3 linked regions of the Macaca fascicularis genome follow. The protein of the gene in region 2 purifies or fractionates together with the protein of the main gene of each other region. This does not show direct contact. Links are inferred from orthologs where the notes say so. Each region holds a gene or a part of one and is shown on either strand. Other genes may lie near its edges.

Evidence for each region.
Region 1: the proteins of NEURL4 (region 2) and CCP110 purify together in Homo sapiens (affinity purification with western blotting; 4 studies listed by BioGRID and IntAct, with this or other methods). This does not show direct contact. The link is inferred for Macaca fascicularis from reciprocal best matches to the Homo sapiens genes NEURL4 and CCP110.
Region 3: the proteins of NEURL4 (region 2) and CEP290 purify together in Homo sapiens (affinity purification with mass spectrometry; 3 studies listed by BioGRID and IntAct, with this or other methods). This does not show direct contact. The link is inferred for Macaca fascicularis from reciprocal best matches to the Homo sapiens genes NEURL4 and CEP290.

Annotation. Positions count from the first base shown.
Region 1 is NC_088394.1:19,072,994-19,076,510, reverse strand, and holds part of CCP110 (centriolar coiled-coil protein of 110 kDa), read right to left. Parts: intron 2,264-3,517; coding exon 2,108-2,263; intron 1-2,107.
Region 2 is NC_088390.1:7,376,124-7,379,640, reverse strand, and holds part of NEURL4 (neuralized-like protein 4), read left to right. Parts: intron 1-23; coding exon 24-155; intron 156-889; coding exon 890-1,035; intron 1,036-1,112; coding exon 1,113-1,340; intron 1,341-1,440; coding exon 1,441-1,539; intron 1,540-1,627; coding exon 1,628-1,789; intron 1,790-1,977; coding exon 1,978-2,142; intron 2,143-3,378; coding exon 3,379-3,517. UniProt on the Homo sapiens protein: Promotes CCP110 ubiquitination and proteasome-dependent degradation. By counteracting accumulation of CP110, maintains normal centriolar homeostasis and preventing formation of ectopic microtubular organizing centers.
Region 3 is NC_088385.1:94,988,403-94,991,919, forward strand, and holds part of CEP290 (centrosomal protein of 290 kDa), read right to left. Parts: intron 3,510-3,517; exon of another isoform or gene 3,472-3,509; coding exon of another isoform or gene 3,408-3,471; intron 1,916-3,407; coding exon 1,774-1,915; intron 608-1,773; coding exon 534-607; intron 1-533. UniProt on the Homo sapiens protein: Involved in early and late steps in cilia formation. Its association with CCP110 is required for inhibition of primary cilia formation by CCP110.

The DNA.
Region 1 (3,517 bases), on a different chromosome or scaffold from region 2:
TAAAGTTATAAAAGGCATTTTGAGCACAAATGGAAAAATTTAAATATGAACAGAATTATTAGACATTATTAAAAATTATTAATTTTCTTAAGATGTGATAATGGTATTGGGGCTTTATATATGAGAATGTCCTTATTTTTAAGAGATGTATACCAAAATATTTAGGGAAGCAGTGTTAGGTCTTTGTGGTTTTCAAATAGCTAGGCAATTTTTTAAAACGTATGTATGTACACACACACATACATGTATATAAAAATCACAAACACAATAAAGCAAAGATGACAAAAATGTTAAATATTGTTTAATCTAATGGTAAATCTACGGTAGGTCACTGCACTATCCTTTCAATTTTGCTGTATATTTGAAAGTTTCATTACAAAAAGTTGGCAGTTAGCTCTGGTGTCTTTAAAAATTCAATTAAATTGGCCGGGCGCGGTGGCTCAAGCCTGTAATCCCAGCACTTTGGGAGGCCGAGACGGGCGGATCACGAGGTCAGGAGATCGAGACCGTCCTGGCTAACACGGTGAAACCCCGTCTCTACTAAAAAATACAAAAAACTAGCCGGGCGAGGTGGCGGGCGCCTGTAGTCCCAGCTACTTGGGAGGCTGAGGCAGGAGAATGGCGTGAACCCGGGAGGCGGAGCTTGCAGTGAGCTGAGATCCGGCCACTGCACTCCAGCCTGGGTGACAGAGCAAGACTCCGTCTCAAAAAAAAAAAAAAAAAAAAAAAAATTCAATTAAATTAATTAAAATTAATCTCTTAACTCCTGTTATACCAAAACATAAATTTAAAGCTCACTTTTTTCTAATATTAGTTTGTGATTTAAAATAAAGTCATATACATTTTAAAATATCCAATTAGTATCAAACGGTATATGATGAAGTGTCTTCCCTATTATCCTATATTCTCTCACCACTCCCCAGAAAAGGAATAGCCATCCTTTAAAAAACCCAAATGGTTAACTTATATTGGGTACCTCTTATGATCCAGGTGGTATTCTAACCATTTTATAACTATGCATTCATTTAATCTTCAAAATAGCCTTATGAGATAGGCACTATTTTATCCCCATTTAACAAATAAGAAAATGGGCCACAAGTTTACACAGCAAGTAAGTAGCAAAGCAATGATTTGGACCAGGCCAGAAGGCTCCAGAGCCTAGGCTTTTGTTTTTCTTTTTTTCCTTCTTTTGGGACAGGGTCTTGCTCTGTAGCCCAGGCTGGAGATTTTTTCCTTCTCTTGGGACAGGGTCTTGCTCTGTAGCCCAGGCAACAGCGCAATCCTGGCTCCCTGTAGCCTGGAACTCCTAGGTTCAAGGAATCCTTCCACCTTAGCCTTCGAGTAGCTGGGACTACAGGCACATGTCACCACGCCTGCCTAATTTTTTAAAATGTTTTTGTAGAGATGAGGTTTCACTATGTTAACCAGGCTAGTCTTGAATTCCTGGTCACAAGCAATCCTTTCCCTTCCAGCCTCTCAAATAACTGGGACTATAGATGTGAGCCACCGTGCCTGGTCCACAGCCTGGACCTCTAATCGTGACTCTATACTGCCCCTGACAGCATGCTGCACACAGTGTTTTACACTAGATCATCAAGATCCTTCCATGCCTCAACATTTACATCTGCCTTACTGTAATGGTAAGTAAGAGATTTTATAAAATGGACCACAGTTAAACTACTCCACTACTGATGGACATTTAGGTTGTTCGTCAACCTTTGCTATTTTAAACAATGCTAATGTAACTCTGTACTTACTTCTTTAGGCTCACGTATAATTGTAGGATACACCCCAAAATGGAACTGCTGACTCAAAGGCTATGTATGCTTTTAAATTCTACCAAACTCTCATCTAGAAATAAAATAAACTGATTCTCTTAGCAAAAGTGCATTAAAAGTGCATTTTCTCCACAGTCTAAGGAACACAAGGTTCTATTAGCTCTTTGTCAATCTATAATAGTAAGTAAAAAATGCTAATTCATTTGCATTTCTCTAATTCTAAATAAGGGCAGCTCTTCGAATGTTTATAAGCCTTTCTTTTGTTTTTCCATGAACTGTTTTAGTTGTTCACTACAGAAAAAAACTATTTAAAAACAAAGCAAGTTTACCAGTGGAGAAAGGATAGCCACTCCATGAAAGCGAATAAGTGAGATACTTTCAGACTGAGTAGGGAGAAAGCTCTCTGTGGATAGTGATGCTTCTTGTATTCTGGCAAGACTTTTTTCACAGAACTTCTCATACTCCTCCATCTTCCCACAGTCACACTACAAGAGAGAAAAATGTTATTTTTAATGTATTGGGAAAAACAGATCTTATTTGGCAGATTTTGCAGAGCATGAGAGAGTCCCTATAATTCACAATTCCTATAACTGGTCCTCCCAGAATTGTCTTACTAAGGCTGGGCGCGGTGGCTCAAGCCTGTAATCCCAGCACATTGGGAGGCCAAGACAGGTGGATCACTAGGTCAGGAGATCGAGACCATCCTGGCTAACACGGTGAAACCCCGTCTGTACTAAAAAATACAAAAAACTAGCCGGGCGAGGTGGCGGGCGCCTGTAGTCCCAGCTACTCAGGAGGCTGAGACAGGAGAATGGCCCGAACCCGGCAGGCGGAGCTTGCAGTGAGCTGAGATCCGGCCACTGCACTTCAGCCTGGGCGACAGAGCGAGACTCCATCTCAAAAAAAAAAAAAAAAAAAAAAAAAAAAAAAAGAATTGTCTTACTAATCAGGAGCTAATTCTTGTGTATGGTAATTCACCTCAAGAACATGTCCAATTAAGATGTCCTTGATATATTAAATATTTCTGAATATTATTGCATGTAAATCAATCTTTAAATGGGATTAATTTAGCTAAGAATTCATAACCTTCTTAAAGAAAACTAAGTTCTGTACACCTTTACTAACTTCAGATTGTAAAATAGGATATTATATTTTCTTTAACAGGACTTATCTACACAAGAAAAACTATATCATACAAAGGTAGAAACACTGTAGTAAAAAAGCCTACTTAAATCAAAGAATATTTACTTTTAAAAATTTTCTACTTTGAAGTTCAAAGGTTACTTTTTTTTTTTTTTAAAGAGATAGGGTCTCACTATGTTGCCCAAATTGGATTCCAGTGACTATTCACAGGTTCGATCACAGTGCACTATAGTCTCAAACTCCCAGACTCAAGCAATCCTCCTGCCTCAATTTGCCTATCTTAACACTATACTTGGACTCCATGGGCACCAGTCAACTCAGTCAGAGGTAAAAAACAGAAAATCGATTGGCTCTGATATTAATTATATTTTATTGTTGAAAATTGGAACCATCACCAAACTACTTAAAACAATCCCAGTAATTTCACAGTTTCTGGGAAATTGTGATTATGAAAATACAAGGTAACCAGCAGGGATTAGGCATCATATTCATTCATTTAGCAAACATTAAATATTGATTGCTTATTTGCACAGCATTATGTGTGGCACTGTTTCCTTTAAATAAATAAGGGAAAATAAAAAGACATTATCAGAATC
Region 2 (3,517 bases):
CTGACCTTCCCTCTCCTCCCCAGAGGTGTATGCAGTAGTCGATCTCTATGGCCAGTGTGTCCAAGTGTCCATCACCAATGCCACCGGCCCCATGGACAATAGCCTGGCGACCAGCAACACTGCCACCGAGAAGTCCTTCCCACTGCACTCCCCAGGTGCGGCAGCCGGGCGGGGGCTGGATGGGCTCTGCTTGCCTGCTGTGCGCCTGAGGAGTAGGGCTTCCAGGTTACAGCAGCTGTGCAAAGACGGTTGGCTGGGGTAGCTGCCGGCTCAAGGGAAGGGACAGCCCACGGTGGCAAGCAGCCAGTAAGGGGGAGGTTACACCTGGTACTTAGAGCCTGGACACTTCCCTGCCACCAAGGGGCCAGGACACCATCAACTGAGCATGCCAGGTTTGGAAATGAGTCTTGCTGTGGTGAAAAGAGGTATCAGGGCTGGGCGCAGTAGCTGATGCCTGTAATCCCAGCACTTTGGGAGATCAAGGCGGGTGGATCGCTCCAGCACAAGAGTTTGAAACCAGCCTGGGAAACACGGCGAAACCCAGTCTGTACCAAAAATACAAAATTTAAGCAGTTGTGGTGGCGTGCACCTGTGGTCCCAGCTACTTGGGAGGCTGAGGTGGGAGGATCGCTGAATCCCAGGAAGTTGAGGCTGCACTGAGCCGTGATTGTGCCACTGCACTCCAGCCTGAGTGACAGAGCGAGACCGTGCCTCAAAAAAAAAAAAAAAAAAATACAATAAAGAGGTGTCAGGAGGCCCTGAGGAGTAATGGCAGATGGCAGATGGGGCGTTGGTGTCCCCATCTCGTTTCATCTGAAAGCTTTGCTCTGTTCCATCTGAAGCTTGCTGCCCCAGTCCTACCCCTTCCTCTGGTGCCATCTTTTCACAGTGGCTGGCGTGGCTCACCGATTCCACAGTACTTGCGGCAAGAATGTCACTCTAGAGGAGGATGGCACGAGGGCGGTGCGTGCCGCTGGCTATGCTCATGGTCTTGTCTTCAGTACCAAGGAGCTGAGGGCTGAGGAAGTCTTTGAGGTAGGCCGTAGCGATGTGACAGAGGGGCTGCCAGGCCCATCGCCACAGGGCCAGCTCATCTTGTCTCTGTCTCATAGGTGAAAGTGGAAGAGCTAGATGAGAAGTGGGCAGGTTCCCTGCGGCTGGGACTGACCACACTAGCCCCGGGGGAGATGGGACCCGGAGCAGGTGGCAGTGGCCCAGGGCTGCCTCCTTCCCTGCCAGAGCTCCGGACGAAGACCACTTGGATGGTATCCAGCTGTGAAGTGAGGCGTGATGGGCAGCTCCAGAGGATGAACTATGGCCGGAACCTAGAGAGGCTGGGGGTGAAGTGGCTGGCTCCAGGGACAGGGGAGGGGTTGGGAGTGGCGGTGGCAGGGAGGGGTGGGCTGAGCATCATCTGTCCTTGTCCTGCCTTGGTCCTAGGTGGGGAGCCGTGTGGGTGTTCGTCGGGGGGCAGATGACACGATGCACATCCTGGTGGATGGAGAGGATATGGGGCCTGCAGCCACTGGCATTGCCAAGGTAGACCTGAATGCTTCCTTGGGTTTTGGGAGGATGGTTGAGGTCTTCCGCTGATCTCTGATTTGTCTGGGTCTTGTGTGCCTCCCAGAACGTGTGGGCTGTGTTGGATCTCTACGGGCCAGTCCGCAGTGTGTCGATTGTCAGTTCCACAAGGCTGGAGGAGTCAGAAGGCACCCAGCCTCCTTCCCCCAGTTCAGACACCGGCAGTGAGGGCGAGGAGGATGACGAGGGCGAGGAGCATGGCCTGGGAGTAAGAGGCTGCAGCATGGCCTGCTGTGCACGTGGATGGGCAGTTGCTGGGCCGTTGGATGCCAGGCCTTTTTTGGGTTCTCTGATCGTTGGGTGGAGGCTCACACTCAGGGTCTGTGCAAACTCCAGTGGGGTGGGTCGGTCCTGGCATTGGCAACCCATGCAGCTTAGTCTCTTCCTCCACACCAGGGCCAGAATGAAGTGGGTATTATACCCACCACCCTCGAGTTCCTGGAGAACCACGGGAAGAATATCCTCTTGTCTAATGGGAACCGTACAGCCACACGGGTGGCCAGCTACAATCAGGGCATCGTTGTCATCAACCAGCCTCTGGTGCCCCAGCTGCTGGTCCAGGTGGGCTCTCCCTCCCTGTCCCCAGCTCCTCTCGCTCCACAGTGACCCATGGCCAACCCTCCTGAAGAAAGGCCTTTTTGGGTGGAGAAAAAGAAAGCAAGCCACTTGGATGAGCTTTCTGGGCTTTTATTCATAGCCTGTAATGGGGTTTGTCAGTCAGTTACCACGAAGTCCCTACCTGGCGATCGGTGAGGGAAGCAGTAGGGACAGGCTGGAGGAGTCCAAGGGAAATGCCTGATCCTATATGTGGGAGCAGAGAGGGCTTTCCAGAAGAAGGTGCCTTTTTGCTACAAACTGAAAGATATATCAAAGTTAGCCAGATGAGCCCAGGTACAGTGGCTCATACCTGTAATCCCAGAACTTTTGGAGGCCAAAGCAGGCGGATCGCTTGAGTTCACGAGTTTGCGACCAGCCTGGGCAATATAGCGAAACTCTGTCTCTGCAAAAAAATACAAAAATTCGCCAGGCATGGTGGCACGAGCCTATAATCCCAGCTACTCAGGAGGCTGAGGTGGGAAGATCACTTGAACCTGGGAGGCAGAGGTTACAGTGAGCCGAGATCACGCCACCGCACTCTAGCCTGGGAGACAGGGCAAGATCTTGTCTCTAAAAAAAAAAAAAAAAAAAAAAAAGCTAGCTAGATGAAGGAAGTCCTACGAATAAGAATCCTGACAGATCGTTACAGAGGCAACAGCAAGGTCACGGCTCAAACAGGGTTTGGTTTTGTTTTGTTTTTGAGATGGAGTTGTGCTCTTGTTGCCCAGGCTAGAATGCAGTGGCACGACCTCGTCTCACTGCAACCTCCACCTTCCGGGTTCAAGCGATTCTCCTGCCTCAGCCTCCCGAGTAGCTGCGATTACAGGCATGTGCCACGACACCTGGCTAATTTTGTATTTTTAGTAGAGACAGGGTTTCGCCATGTTGCTCAGGCTGGTCTCAAACTCCTGACCTCAGGTGATCCACCCGCCTCAGCCTCCCAAAGTGCTGGGATTACAGGTGTGGGCCACCATGCCGGCTGATGGTTCTTTTTTTTATTATTATTAAAAAAAAAAAAAAGGGAAAGAAACAACTAAATTTGCATTTTCTGGTCCTTCCATGCATAAGAAAAGGCAGCATCCCAGGCCACATTCTGGGAGGTGCAGTATTCCCTCCCTGGCGGGGGGGTGGGGGGGGGTGGGTAGCGAGCCTGGTTCTTCCCAGGAGGCTGTGATTATGGAGTAGTTCCTTCTTCCCCAGGTGCGGATAGATTTCCTAAACCGACAGTGGACATCTTCCCTTGTCCTGGGAGTCATCACCTGCGCGCCTGAGAGGCTCAACTTCCCTGCTTCTGCCTGTGCCCTCAAACGGGCAGCCTGGCTGCTGCGGGGCCGTGGGG
Region 3 (3,517 bases), on a different chromosome or scaffold from region 2:
GGGCATTTCTTATGAACTAGTGATGCACAGTAATCAGAACAAACTAGTCTTTATCAAAGTAAACATTTACTCTCAATGCTACAATGTCACCATTCTCAAAAAGCCTGGAATACAAAAGCCTTCACATTTTTCTTAATATCTGACCTGAGGTCATTTCCAAGAGTGGTTTTGTTATGAGGAGCCTAATGAAAGTGGGCTACAGAGACTCCTGAAAGTAAAAAATTACTTGTTCTCTTTCATTAGTATTTTCCCCTGGGAAGCTAAGGATTAATCCATTCTATGCTCTTAGAAAAGTTTAAACTAAATTACAAACTGGAAACTTATATTACAGTTGGGTTTATCCTTTTTTCCAGTGTGTATTATGAAAAAAAGAGTGATTAGCATTAGAAGGAAGAAATAAGGACCTAATAAGCCTGTTAGGCAGTAAAGTTGAAAAATGTTTGTCTCTAGTTGTAGCAATTCTGAGATTATAAAAACTAATAATTTTTTTTTAAAAGAAAGAAACAAAGTAGTCATATGAACACATGACGCACCTAAGAACTTGAAGCTCCTGTTTGAGGCCTTGCTCTGTCTCAGCACCTTCAGGAACATGTTTAAGAATCTTAATCTTTGGGGACAATGAAAAGTTAGAAGATAACTTTGGAAATACGAGGATTTATAAAGATACACATTTTTAATAAAGCATAATATTAAAATCTGGTTTTCAAAAGCATGCATAGGCAAATTTCTATGTTCTATTCACCATTCTTTCAACAAGTATTGAGTAACTACTGCATAACTGGCATTGTCCTAGGCACAGAGGCTACAGCAGTGAACAAAATAGGTAATGTTCCATCTTGCATGGTCCTCATTTAGTGTGGAAACAAAGAATGTGTATGTAATATGATATGATATAATAATAGTGCCAGATGGTAGGAAGAGCTATCAAGAAAAAATAATCCAGGGTAAGAGGATCAAGAGTGATGGCAAGTAGTATAGGGTTAGGGTTAGGGTTAGGGTGAGGAAGGTCTCTCTGAGGAGCCTCTATTTCAGCAGAGACATGAAGTCTGGGAGGAAGCTATGAGAATATTTGGGTGAACAGTATTCTAAACAAAGGAAACAAGTGTAAGGACTTAACGCTTAAACGAGTTTGAATTGTTTAAAGTACTGAAAGAAGGTTAATGTGGTTAAAACATTGTGAATGAAATGAAGGGAAAAGTGGTAGAAGATGAGATTGGGAAGAAAACTGGGTACCAGACCTCATATATTGTTTTGGGATACGAAAAGTACTTTGAAGTTTTATTTTAGGGTGATGGAGAACCACTGGAAGATTCTGAGGATAGGACTTTGTGCTTTGTGATGTGCTTTATGTTTTAAAAGGGTTACCTGGCAACTGTGTGGAGACAGACCAGAAATAGAAATAGAGTGAAATAATGCAAGAGTGGAAGCTGAGATACCAGTTTGGAAATTATTGTAGTTATTCAGGTATAAAACAATAGCCTGGACAAGACTGGTAGTGATGTCTCAAGATGCCAAGAAGTGGTCAGATTTGGGATATAGTTTGAAAATAGAGCTGACATGATTTAACGATTAAAAAAAAAGATGTGGAGAATGAAAAGAATGAAGTCATTGATGATCCAAAGTTTCTGGCTTAAGCAAATAGGTGAATGGGGTGCCCTTCAGTTAGATGGGTCTTCTTAATCGAGTCCATTTTTATCTATAGAAGACAATGCAAGGAACATCCTGTGATATTATGCATTATTTTATCATGTAAAGAAAAATTACATTACTTACCTGTTCTTCAAGGTCTTCAGTGTATTTCTTAACTTTTTGTTCTCTCTCTGTTGCTTCTTTTACAAGCTGTTTAAGGTCAGTAATGCTTTGATTTTTTTTGGCAATATCAGTTTCCAATTCTTTTAACTTGGTTTCATACATTCTAAAAGTATAAGGAAAAAAAGTATAGACATGGCAAATAATTTATGTCACTGATTTAAAAGTCAGTTCAAATTACCGTACTAGAAATAAGCAAGAATATCTTATTTTAGCCGGGCGCGGTGGCTCACGCCTGTAATCCCAGCACTTTGGGAGGCCGAGGCGGGCGGATCACAAGGTCAGGAGATCGAGACCACGGTGAAACCCCGTCTCTACTAAAAATACAAAAAATTAGCCGGGCGCGGTTGTGGGCGCCTGTAGTCCCAGCTACTCGGGAGGCTGAGGCAGGAGAATGGCGTGAACCCGGGAGGCAGAGCTTGCAGTGAGCCGAGATCGCGCCACTACACTCCAGCCTGGGCGACAGAGCGAGACTCCGTCTCAAAAAAAAAAAAAAAAAAAAAGAATATCTTATTTTACTGTTTTGTCTAGTCAAGGTTTTCGCTACATATTTATTTACCATTAAAATGGTGGTGGCAAGAGATAAGGTATCCCTAATTAACAGATGGCCCATTCAAAATAAAGAATTTGGGTATTTTCCAAGATTATAAATAAGGATGGAGCCTGATTTGACCATTTTAAAATTAATACCTTTTTTCAATCACAAAATAAGAAAATACAAAGTAAAATTCTTCGGAATATAAAATTCTATATTACTAGATATTCTTAGAAATATAAAGATGGCAAATAAAAAGCTTTTCTCACATATACAGACATACATAGGAGGTATACAGAAAAACACTACAGGGAGAGGAAAAAATTGTGCAAAAGCATGGGTGAGAAAAATAGTATCTGATGGGAGAGGGATAAAGCTTGTAAAAATCTGAATAGATTTATAATCATTAAAGAAACAACAGTTCAAAAAAATACAGACTCCAGAAAAAAATTTCATAATTGAGCCAAACAGTTCTACTGGTTCATCATACCTAAAGAAATATAATGCTTACAATATCCAAACTTTTCCAGAGAAATGGATAGAAAGACTGCATTCTAAGTTAAAATGGCCAGTATAGCTTTGGTAACAAAATCTGCTAGGATAATACAAGAAAGGAAAATAATGATTGTCTAAACACATTCAAACAGCTTTTGATAGATCCTAGAAACTTAGATTAGAAGGGAATGTTTTTAACCCGACAGAGACTATCACAGATCTACCACAAGTAAATGGTGAAATATCAGAAGCTTACTCCTTCACTTCATCTAATTTTCTGTTCAAAAGCCACCCAAGCAGAGAGGGCCTCTCTGATCACCCTATGTAAAACTGCCCCCACATCACCCTGGTTTGTCCCAGCAGTCAGGAAAAGGCCTGACATAGAATATGTGTTAATAAGTTTGTTGAATGAATAATAATGCAACTATAAGGATGTCAGCATGAGCAAGATCTGTGTCATGGGTCCCAAAACAGATCTTTCTAAACTGCTTTATTGAGAAAGGTGTATAATCCTCCCAGATTTAAACTTTAGTGAATTTTTTTCCTTTTTCTTTTTCTTTTTTAACAGATTTAGGGAACCTGGAGGTCAACGATCAAAAGGAGCCTCTCTCTGTCAAGAGATTTCTACTTAGACTTACGTCTTCTGCAAATGGTTTACCGAAGGCTTATGGTATGCTC